Linked DNA regions of Notamacropus eugenii. The protein of the gene in region 2 purifies or fractionates together with the protein of the main gene of each other region. This does not show direct contact. Links are inferred from orthologs where the notes say so. Each region holds a gene or a part of one and is shown on either strand. Other genes may lie near its edges. The genes, in order: CASTOR1, WDR59 and SESN2.

The links.
Region 1: the proteins of WDR59 (region 2) and CASTOR1 purify together in Homo sapiens (affinity purification with mass spectrometry; 3 studies listed by BioGRID and IntAct, counting the BioPlex papers as one, with this or other methods). This does not show direct contact. The link is inferred for Notamacropus eugenii from reciprocal best matches to the Homo sapiens genes WDR59 and CASTOR1.
Region 3: the proteins of WDR59 (region 2) and SESN2 purify together in Homo sapiens (affinity purification with western blotting; 4 studies listed by BioGRID and IntAct, with this or other methods). This does not show direct contact. The link is inferred for Notamacropus eugenii from reciprocal best matches to the Homo sapiens genes WDR59 and SESN2.

What each region holds. Positions count from the first base shown.
Region 1 is NC_092875.1:15,132,949-15,136,691, forward strand, and holds the start of CASTOR1 (cytosolic arginine sensor for mTORC1 subunit 1), read left to right. Parts: upstream 1-1,496; 5' UTR 1,497-1,678; coding exon 1,679-1,791; intron 1,792-2,681; coding exon 2,682-2,752; intron 2,753-3,743. UniProt on the Homo sapiens protein: Functions as an intracellular arginine sensor within the amino acid-sensing branch of the TORC1 signaling pathway. As a homodimer or a heterodimer with CASTOR2, binds and inhibits the GATOR subcomplex GATOR2 and thereby mTORC1.
Region 2 is NC_092872.1:713,210,958-713,214,700, reverse strand, and holds the start of WDR59 (GATOR2 complex protein WDR59), read right to left. Parts: upstream 2,665-3,743; 5' UTR 2,527-2,664; coding exon 2,473-2,526; intron 1-2,472. UniProt on the Homo sapiens protein: As a component of the GATOR2 complex, functions as an activator of the amino acid-sensing branch of the mTORC1 signaling pathway. The GATOR2 complex indirectly activates mTORC1 through the inhibition of the GATOR1 subcomplex.
Region 3 is NC_092876.1:69,382,197-69,385,939, forward strand, and holds the start of SESN2 (sestrin-2), read left to right. Parts: upstream 1-1,290; 5' UTR 1,291-1,588; coding exon 1,589-1,672; intron 1,673-2,638; exon of another isoform or gene 2,639-2,672; coding exon of another isoform or gene 2,673-2,717; intron 2,718-3,743. UniProt on the Homo sapiens protein: Functions as an intracellular leucine sensor that negatively regulates the mTORC1 signaling pathway through the GATOR complex. In absence of leucine, binds the GATOR subcomplex GATOR2 and prevents mTORC1 signaling.

The DNA.
Region 1 (3,743 bases), on a different chromosome or scaffold from region 2:
GGAAGCTGATAGCTTGAGGGAGTGGAGCTGTCAAGTGGAAAGTTCTGAAGCTGAGAGGACTGTGGAGAATTTGTTGATGGCTGAGAGGGAGGAGCCTGGAGAGGGTGGGGCTTGAATGGGGCACTCTCGAGGGGGCCGGGTGGGTCCTTCAGAGGGGAAGATGGGATCAGATAAAATCCCTGAGGAGAATGAAGGAGGGCTGGGGTAGAAAAGAAGGAAGATCTTATTTTGTACAAAGAGGAGGCCCTCTGCTGAGTGGGGGTGGGCAGGAGGAGAAGCCCTGGCATCCTGGGAGGCTGAAGGAGGTTTTGAACAGTCAATTAAAGACGAATAGAGAGATCAGATGCCAGCAGAGGGAGCCTAATGGGGATTAGATAACATAAATTTGATCCTTGGCCTGGGAGTCAAGAATTTTTCCTTGGTTCTATCACGTTTAGGCTCTGGGTCTGACGGAAGGGATCTGGGAGGTGGCTGGGCAAGAGGGAGATTCTTGGGGGAAGGAGGGTGGGTTTGGTCTTTATGACCCTGTGTGTGAAGAGCAGAATTCAATACTCCTTGCCTGCCCTTGGACCAATGGGAAGACCCTGGAATGCCTTCCCCTTTTCTAACCGAGAAATAGGAGAACTCTTGTCCTTGAAGGCGAAACCCATCTGCCATCTCTGGCCCATCTTCAAACACATACTGGTATATATTCCATTTTTCTCCCCCAAACTGCCTTCTTTATGGTTTTTCCTCTGGATTTTACTTTACGGATGGTATTCATCCATTTCACTTAGAATCCGCTGTGGACTGAGCTCTGGGAAGGTGGGGAAAACGTACCGATTACCGACAGTAAAAGGTGGGAGAGGGGGATCAGCACTGGAAAGAGCCCCTGGGGACCTGGATGCAGCTCTTGGGAAGCACTTTGGGGTCTTTGGCCCTTCTCCCATTCTGAGCCCCTAAAATGAGGACGTTGGGCCTGTGACCTCTGTATTTGGGTGGGAGGGAGGTTTCACACTCAGACGAGGGGGTGGGTCGGCGTGCTCCACCAGGAATCTAGTGCCCTGTGGCCCCAAGTCCGCCCCTGCCCTTATTGGAGAGGGGGAGGGTCCGTCGAACCGAGTAAGTTGGGAGAGCGGAGCTGGGGGTCTGTTCTGGGCCTGTTCTCTGCCCCCCTTCCCCAGCCACACCGTCTGGAGGCTGGATCACCCCACCTGGGTGTGGCCTGGACCACCCTGCCCAGACCGATCCTCGCGGAGCCCTTCCACTCCGAGGCAGCCTCCTAGGGTTCCTGGACGTGGCTTTGCGTGGCCCCCGGGACGCGCGTGGGGCCCGCCTCCTCACCCCGGTACTTCCACCCCTTCCAGATGGGCCAGCCGGGGGGGCGTGGCCCCGAGGCTTTGGCTAGGGTATTGGCTGAACCCCAGCGTTACGAGGCCCGGGGCGTGGCCTAGGGAGTTTCGAGGGGGCGTGACGGGGGCGGGCACTCCGGGGGCGGGGCCGAGCGGAGCCGGAGCTGGGGCAGCCTCTGGCGGAGGAGGGCCCGGGGCCTGGCGCTGGCTGGGCGGCTGAGGGGCCCGGCAGCAGCAGCCGCAGCAGCAGCAGCAGCAGCCGCAGCAGCAGCAGCCGCAGCCGCAGCCGCAGCCGCAGCCGCAGCGGCCCCCTCCCAGCTCCCAGCCCCCGGCCTCCCGGGCCCCCGATGGAGCTGCACATCCTGGAGCACCGGGTCCGGGTGCTGAGCATCGCGCGCCCCGGACTCTGGCTCTACACGCACCCGCTTGTCAAGCTGCTCTTCCTGCGCCAGCGGAGCCGGTAAGGCTGAGGCCAGAGGAGGGGGCCCCTCCCCCAGCTCGGGCTCTGGGTGGGTCTGGGGGTAAGGCTGGGGACCACCTCGCTCCCTCTCGCCTTCCAGCCCCACTATCGCCTTCGATTCCCGAGCCACCTCGGCAGGCCCTTATTATCCCCACTGTACAGAAGGGGCCACTGAGATGCGGAGAGACTGTAGTGACTTGTCCAGAGACGCCCCGAAGCCGCCCCTCCCCACCCCCCAGCTTGCTTGGACTTGTCCTTGTTCTTAGACTCGCTGTATTAACGGGGGCGGGGCGGGGGGAGGTGTTGAACGTCACTGCCTTCATGGTGGCTCTTCCAGCCCACTTGGGGCATTCTGTGAAGTCTGAGTTCAGGCACCACCTGGGCTGCATGGTAGCGGGCTGACCTTCCTTGGGCCTCACTTTGCTCTCCGGTAAAATGAGGGAGTGGGCCGCTGTGAGCTGTTCTAATCTCTAAGGGGCCTCTCAGCTCCAGCATTCTTTGGGTCAGTGGGTCAGAGGGATGAGTACCAGCAGGGGTCACCCTCGCCAGCTCTTGGGAAATTGCTTGGGAAGTGGTTCCTTCCCCTGCACTAGTAGCCAAAGGACTGGCTTGTATGCCTCCTTCCCCAGGATGGGGATTCTGGGGTGAGCTTAGGGAACAGCCGGTATCCCCTGTACCCATCATTCCCCTTCACCCTCTCCTCATGGGCAAGGGTTTCCAGAGGACCCAATCGGTTCTGCTTGACTGGAGCCTGGGCAGAGTCCACTCACTTTCTTTGAGTCTGGCCCTTCCTTTGCCATTCCTCCCTCCCCTCTGCCTCTGGACTTTGGGATCCAGGGGGGATGAGGGAGTGCCTTGCCTTGGCTCATGGAGTGGTCCCTTTTCCTTAGGTGCAAGTTTTTCAGCCTGACAGAAACCCCTGAAGATTACACCCTAATGCTGGATGAAGAAGGATACCAAGGTACTGGGTTCCAGTTTCTCCTCCTGGTCTCCTGAGGCCCTCTCCCCCAGACTCTTCCAAGGGGCACCCCTTGGCTGGCCTGTGTGGGCCAGGCACACACTGTCATCAGAATGCTTAAGACAGGTGGACCGGGGCTGGGGCAGGAGAGAAGGGTGGATGCAGCAGGGCCCAGTAAAATGGATCTGAGCAGCACCTGGGTCCCTGCCCCAGCTATCCCAGAATGGACTGGAAGTACCCTGGAGAGGGGGTGAGCCACAGTGTCCAGGACGTTCTGGGGCAGCCTTGTGGTACCTGTTCCCTTTGGATCTCAGTTCTGCTGTGGCTTTGTGATACTGGCTAAGTCACTTTCCTTTCCCAAGATTGCAGTTTCCTTTTTAGTAAAATATTAATAATAGCACACAGCTATGGGGAGCTTTAAGAGAGCGCAAAGCACTTTACCCACCAGACTCCATGTCCTGTGCCCCCTTGGGGCACGTTGGCACTGGAAGGTTCTGATAATTGCTGTTTTCAGAGGTCCCCCACATCCACCTCTGCTCCCTCCACTCCAGGGTGACATCTTGCAATCAATCCAGTATCAGCTGAGGGCCTGGGAGGTCTGGGGGGTAAATGGGAACCAGCAGGTGATGGAGACAGATGAAATGCAAGATTTTCCAAGTCTGGACCCAACACGTGGGCTAGATGTGGTGTAGATGAGCCTGATCCCTCCACTGGAAGCTGCCTGCCTTCCCCCCCCTTTCTATTTCCTGTTGTGACCTCAGAGACAGGGCCTAGGGCCTAGTGCTTGGGGGTGCTGCTTGCCCTGTGCCTTCTGCCTGGCTTAACTTCCCCACAAGGGGCCCATCCAGGAGCAGGCCCTAGGTGCCCAGGCTCTCAGTCCCAGGCACTGACCACAAATGAAGTCAGGAGAAGAATGACAAGATCTAGAGTGAAGAGAACTTCCAAAGGCATCCGGTGCAAACCTTTCTGTTTACAAATGAGGAAACTGACACCC
Region 2 (3,743 bases):
TACAGTGCAGAACTAAATGGATCAATCATTTAACTTTTCTGAGCCTCAGGTTCTCATCTGCAAAATGAAGGCTTGGCCTACAAGTCCCCTACAGCTTAAATCCATGATCTTATCAATCAACTGTAGTTTCAGAAGGCTCAACATAGAAAAGAATTTCCTCTTGCTCCTGGAAAGATGGAGAAAATTTAGTTCCTAATGGCTCCAACTCACACCCCTGAGACTCCCAGATGTACATCTGGGGTTCTGAACCTGGGATCCATGAAGATTTTTTAAATATTATGGTAACCGTATTTCAATGCAATTGTTTTTTAAAACATTCTGAAAAGTGGTCGATAGACTTCCTCAGACTGCCAAAGGGTCTACAACACAACCCCTGCCCTCCTGTGGGGGACTATGAATGTAGAATATTGCATCAGACTCAGGTGATTTGTTGCTTAGTTTTGCTAAACTGCTTGTTTTCTCACCTTTTTAATTTTCTTATGATAAAAACAAGTTATAAAATTTTTTTAAAATGACAATCCCTTAAGGGCAGGGACTGTCAGTCAGTCAATACACATTTATTAAGGGCCTACTATGTGCTAAGGGTTGGGGATACAAAGAAAGGTAAATGATGGTCCCTACTGTCAAGGAGTTCACAGTCTAATGGGGGTGGGAAGGAAGCAACTTGCAAATAACTACGTACAAACAAGCTACATACAAGGAAAACTGGAAACAATCAACAGAGAGAACACTAGAATTAAGAGGGAGTGTAAGGTTTAAGAAGACTAGAAAGGTAGGAGGGGCTACTACTTACAAAGGACTCTAGACTCTCCAAACAGAGAATTCTGATGCTGGAGGTATTGGGAAATCTGTGGAGTTTACTGAGTAGAGAAGTGACATGGTCAGACCTACCATTCAGAAAGACCATTTGGAGAGCTGAATACCAATTCTGCATTTTTGTCCCTAGCACCAATGTCACTACCCTGGTCAAGAAGCTCCAGAGAATCTCTACCGCCTCTGCTGTTGTTAAGTTGTGTCTGACTGACTCTCCATGACCCACTTTGGAGTTTTCCAGGCAAAGATACTGGAGTGATTTGCCATTTTCTTCCCCAACTTATTTTACAGATGAGGAAACTGAGGCAAACAGAATTAAGTGACTTGCCCAGCATCACACAGCTAGTAAGGGTCTGAGGCTGGATGTGAACTCAGGAAGATAAGTCTTCCTCACTCCAGGGCCAGCACTGTACTCACTGCACCACCTTACATCTAGGATCAAGTTTAAACCCTTCTGTAACTAACACCCACACTACCTGATTCCAACTTATCTATCCAGGTGTATTTTACATTTCCTTTACTGCCTGTGTGACTCTGAACAACTAACTTTACATGTGTCTGCCTCGGTTTCCTAATCTGTGAAAAGGGGATAACACCTGCCAAGGCTATTCTGAGGGTTCAAATGAGATGTCTGTAAAAGTTCTTTGGAAACCTGAACATGCTGGCTGTTACTATGAGGTCTACTTTCGTCCTTTTGGCTCTTCCTCAGGCAAGGCACAGTTTCTGTGCCTTTCCAAAGCACGCCCCTCTCTGCTATCTCTGCAGTTGCCAGTGCTTCCAACACCTGACAAGACTGGACGTTATTTTGTCTACATTACGTATCTCACCTACACCGGCTGTCTCCCCCAAGAGAACATAAGCTTCTCAGGGAAATGGCCTGGGCTGGTTTTTTGGTGTGCTTTTTTGGGGGGGAGGGGGAGGTCGGTGTATGCATCCCCAGCATCTAGCACAGGTTACTGCTTTAACCGGGTGATAACAGAGGTTCTGACACCCTCTGCCTCTGGGATGCCTCTCCGGGCCTCAGTTTCCTCATCTGTACAAGAATGGGGGGGGCGCTCTCTTCATCGACGATGACCACGAGAGATGACGTTAGGCAGAGGCCAGGCAGCCCTCGCTCGGAGGACTCCTGTTTTAGGTAGAAAAGGCACCGGTCGACTGAAAGATGCTTAATGAGCCCGACTCTGGGGTCCAGGATGCTGCTCCCCGGAAACAAATCCCCCTGACGAACTCTGGGGCTGGGGGAGGAGGGGGAGGGAGCGGGTCACCCAGCGAGGTGGGCGTGCGTCCTGCCGGGGCACTGGTCAGCTGAGCGGCGGTGGGCGCGGCACTGGCCTCGGGTCCCCCTCGGTAAGGCGGGGTGACAGCAGGCCTCTCCTCCAGGGGGGGATGGGCCGAGACAAGCTGGCTGCCCAGCCTCGGCTCGGCCGGCCCCACAGGCCTCCGCCCACCCGGGGCGGCTCTTCACGGAGGATCGCCGAAAGCCTCCGCGGCCGGATCCCGGTCCCTCCCTCCCCTCTCCTCCCTCGGGCCCGGCCGGCCCTCGCCACTCCCGGCCCATCGCGCCACCCGACACACCGCACCGGGGAGGAGGGGAGGCAGGGAGGCACGGGGCGCATGCTCAGACGGCCCCCTTCAGCCCACCCCACCCCCGCCGCGCACCTGGGAATCCCTAAACTCCACCACCACATTCTCGCTGCTCCACCGCGCCGCCATCTCCAGCCTAGCCGCCGCCGCCACCCCACGGCCGCCACCGCTGCCGCCACGCTCCTCCCCTCGGCCCCGCGCGCCAGGGTTTCGGCACGCAGGAGGACGCACCCTTCACCTCAGACCACCCCTTCGACGCCCCACCCATATCGCTTCTCGGACAGTCATTGGTTGTTCCCTCAGCGTTGGCTCCACCCCCATCCCTCGTGGTCTAGCGTGCACGCGCCCTGACAAACACAACCAGCCCCTCTCCTTAACCTCCCCTCCCCTCCCTGACCCAGCTTGGGCTCTTATCGCTTCCAGGTGACGTGACGTAATACGGAGGCGAAACCTCCTGGGCCCTCAGGAGCTGGAACCCCGCCCCACTCCGTTTTGCCCCAGGCTCTGTCGGGAATTGTAGTCCACGGCCCAGAGGAGTAGAAACCGTGGGCGGGGCAAAAGATGGGCAAGGAACCAGCTCAGGTTCCTTCTTCTCGATCTCCTAAAAAAACCCTGTTCAAGGATAGATACAAAGATGGATGAACAGACGGACAGATGGAAGAACAGACAGATACAAAGACTCATGGATGGATGGACGGGCGGAGGGTTGAATGGATTGAGAGATAAAAAGATAGATGTTAGAAATATGAATGGACAGGTAGGCATAAGGATGAATGGAAAGACAGATGACAGTCCCAGGCTCTGGGGCTAATTATGCCCTCCCTCCAACCATTCCCACCCATGTAGATTTCTCCTTTTATGCAGAAGACAGTTCCCCAAGCATTCTTGTAAACTACATCCCCAACGTCCTAAAAATCTGCCAGACAGCATCCAGAAAACACTATCGAACGTGATGAAAAGCTCCTGCTTTCAAGCCTTTAGTGGTCAGACTTTCTCTCTCTCTCTCTCTCTCTCTCTCTCTCTCTCTCTCTCTCTCTCTCTTTCTCTCTCTCTCCCTCTCTCTCCCTCTCTCTCTCTCTCTCTCTCTCTTTTTCTCTCTCTCCCTCTCTCTCCTTCTCTTTCCCTCTCTCCCTCTCTCTCCTTCTCTTTCCCTCTCTCTCTCTCTCTCTCTCTCTTCCTCTCTCTCCTTCTCTTTCCCTCTCTCCCTCTCTCTCCTTCTCTTTCCCTCTCTCTCTCTCTCTCTCTCTTTCTCTCTCTCTCTCTCTCAAATATAATTCCATTTAGAAGAACTTGCTATGCTTGCTTCTCATGATTTGTGAGAGGGAGCACATTTCAAACTGATTTTC
Region 3 (3,743 bases), on a different chromosome or scaffold from region 2:
AAGTGAAAGCAGATATCAGAGATTAAAAGACAAATTTGAGAGAAGTCCATAGCATGGAGGTGCTAGGAGCAGCTTGAGAAGTAAGGACCCCCAAACTGAAATGGGAGGTGTCAGTAACCTAGTTGCTTTCCCTACTCCCCCAATGTCATCCAAGTCCCTAAAGAGAGCATTCCTGCCTAGATGCCTTCTGCCTCCATCTGTGCTAAATTTAAAGGGCTAGCTGCCATTTCATATCTCAGCTGCTGGGCTGGGGTGGTGGGTTCCTGTGAGAGTTGGGGAAAATGTAACTCAGGAATAGTATTGCATCGTTGCCCTCCCCCATCTCTATCCTTCCTTTCCTAGAGAGAGAAGGTCATGGCCAGAAGTTTAGGAGAAATGCCCCCTTTTCTGGGTGAGGAGGAAATCAAAGAGGGGAATCTATATAAGGAGAGGAAAAAGGGTCATCAACTGGTAGATGGGAAAACCAAGATAGTTCCATGTCTTGAACAAGGGAGAAGAGTTTCAAACTTGGTGCCCTGGCACTTAGAGGAATGCAGCAAATATTTATTGATTGAGTGAGTGATTAAAGGAGCAACGGGTGATTAAATACCGTTAAATATAGTGTCAGATAGTGCAGACTGGTAAAGGAGAATAAAGGAGTGGGGAAAGACTGAAACTCCAGCAAGAGAGGCTGAAATTAGGCACCCGAATGAATTTCTTAAGGAAGTTATGAAATCCTTTCTGCAGAACTTCAGATACAGGCTGGATTCTCTTTTGTCTGGTATGTTTGAAGGTGCGGGGCTGCTTGAGGGCAAAGTGAATATTCTGAAAGACCTTTTAAAACTCCCTCGGGTTCAGACCTATAATTAGCTCCAGCAATGCTCATTATAAACAGTCACCTCGAAAAGCCATCCAGGGACCCTAAATAACCTCACCAGAAATTTAAAATCTGTAGCATGAAATGGTTTGAAATTATAAACCCAGATGCCCTGCCCAGTCCCTAAAAAGTTGCAATTCATCATGCAATCATAATGACTATCTGGGACTGTCACTCTCGGTCTCTCGTTTCTCATTTACTTGTTTATGAGTAACCCTCTTGCAAAAGTTTGCAACATCCTCCAGGGTAAAACTACAACTCCCAGCTCCCCCAGCGCTTCCCCGAGCCCATTGGAAGATAGTCGAGAGAAGCTGTTGGAGGAGGAAAGGCGTCTCCGCCTCCTGCCGGACCAATGAGTAGGTGATTGGCCGAAGCCTGAGGCTTGTGTCCCCTCCCTCTCACTCCCCACCCCTCCGACCTGCGTCTGGGTAGGTCTCAGTTGCCGAGGTCGGATCCAGAGAAGCTAAAGGCAGTCGGGCTCGGGGATGTCTGTGAGCTGTGGTAGCCGAGACGTTCTTCACTCTAGAATTCTAAGACCCCCCGGGGCCACGGTAGAAGCTGGGGCGCCCCTCGGGTAGCCACGGACCGTTCCGGTGCAGGACCGTGGGTCTGCGGACAGGTGCAGAGCCCCACCTCGCCGGGAGCGCCTGCCACCCCGGGACCCGCTCGCGCGCTGTACCCCCGCGGCCGTGCCCGCGGGCCCCGCAAGGAAGGTGCGCGCTGGCTGGCACCATGATCGTGGCGGACGCGGAGAACTGCGCCGGAATCCAGGGCTACATCCCCTACACCCAGTGCGGCGGCGCAGGGACCGCGGAGGTGAGTGGCGCGGACCCCTCCCCAGCCGCGAGTCCAGCCCTTCTGGCCACGGGACAGGCTCGACGGCCGGCTCAGCCCTGGGATGGGGATCGGGGGCTGGGAATTGGGGGCAGACTGTAACCTGGCGCCGGGATTGCATCAACTGGCCGCCGCTGCCCCCCTCCTCTTCCTCCGACTTCGTTCCCGGGGGAAGAGCTCTGGACAGCTACTTAGGACGGAGTGGGGGTTGGGGGAGGAGGGGCTTCCCGAGTGGGCCCGGCTTGCCCAGTAGGCGCCGTCTTCCAGCCTGGGCATGCCTGGGCCCGTCGGAGTAGACCTTGTCCGCTTCCTTCCCGATTTTCCACTGGGGAACCCCAGGGGGTCTTGGAACCGTGCCTTCAGGGAGGTGGCGGCAGAATCCTTCGCTCTCTGGGCGGCGGCGGAGGAAACTTTCGGGGCGCTTGGCAATGCTCCCAGGTCCTGTCGCTCTGCACGACCCCGGGAGGGAAGACCTCGGACCCGGTGGGGTCGGGGGGGGGGGGATGAGCGGAAAGGAGTGAATGGGAACCCCGACCACCCGGAGAGCGAGATGCTGCCTGGACAGGGGTGGACACGCGGTTTCAGGGTCTTGATGGAGACCTAGGTCCCTACGGGCAAGAGGGGGCTGAGGAAGAGAACCTTGCAGCCCCAAACTAGTGGTCGTTCGATAAGCCCAGCCACCTGTTAGCTGGGGGATTCAGGGACCTTCTGTGACTTGGAACTAAACGCTCCTCCGACCTACCTTACTCGTCTCGTTGTCATGTGGAAAGAGCTTTGTGAGCGGGAAAACGTTGTTGAAGTGTGAGCTTCACGGGCATCCCCTCCTCCGGGAAGCCGTCCCTGACTAACCTCACCTGATTCAGATCACACCATCTCCTGACCGAATCTCCTTCCAGGACTTGGAATGTTGTTTGCATTTCGGAAAATTTGCCCAGAAACTTGGCCCGAAGTTTCAGTTCTGACTGTCTGACGGCCTGTGGGGATGGGGGAAAGATGCCCCAGATCCGTTAAGCTGGGCATTCCTCAGGTAGGGCCCGACTTCTTTATATCCAGACCAGAACTGCCTGCAGGGTCCTGGAAGGGGCCTCCGGGTTAAGCTCCTGGGTTTTACCGAGGGAAAAACTGAAGCTGTAGGAGATTAAGGGACTTCATAAGGTCGCATAGTAATAGTGGAGACTAGCTTTGAACCCCGGACCTCAGAGACCTTCCTGTTTTCCCCTGTACCATCTTAACTTCCCTAATAAGGGAGGACCCAGAATGACCTCACCGACCTCCTAGGGCTAATGTAATAGAGACTGCCCTTCCGGAGGTGAAAAAAAGAAAGCTTCAGCCTTCTCTCCCTTCCAGATAGCACTCCCCCCCCCCCCCCCCCACACACACACACACTTCCAGGTGTGTCTGGTGGTGGAAGGAGAGGGCTCTGCCGGGGAAGGAGGAAGGCCGAGCTCTCGGAGGCCATGCCCCCTCACCTGATGGAATTACTCCCCAGTGGAAAACTTTGGAATCTCGGGGTCAGCGGCGGAAGATGTCTGTGGTGACCGAGAAGTTAATGAATATTCCTACTGTCTTGAGAAAGCTGAAAGGACCGGGAAGTCCGCTCTCCTTTGGAGATCAGACTTTTTCAAGAGAGCAGCAGCTCTGGAGTCCTTCCAAAGCAACGCTCCTAGAGACCCCGAGCCCCAAATCCCCCAGCCAGTCATTTCGGGGCTTCAACCACAGAATGGATCGCTGATGCCACACCTATTATGTGCAGGGCTAAAGGACAGGGACAGACACATGATTTAGATCGCAGGTGTCAAACGTTCATGTGCAACGCTCCCCAGTGCATCTCAAACCAGATTAAAATGTAATTGGGAAATATTTAAAAAACGAATCAAAACATAAGTAATATTACGTTTAAAGCTGAGTCAGTATGTGGCCTGCAGGCGTCTTTATGTACCAATTAGTGGGCTGGGTTTCTATTTGAGGTCTACACCACTGATTTAAATAATCAAATCACCACCCTCTAGGAACTCAACGAAGCCTGTACAGGGAGACGTAATGGAGACATACT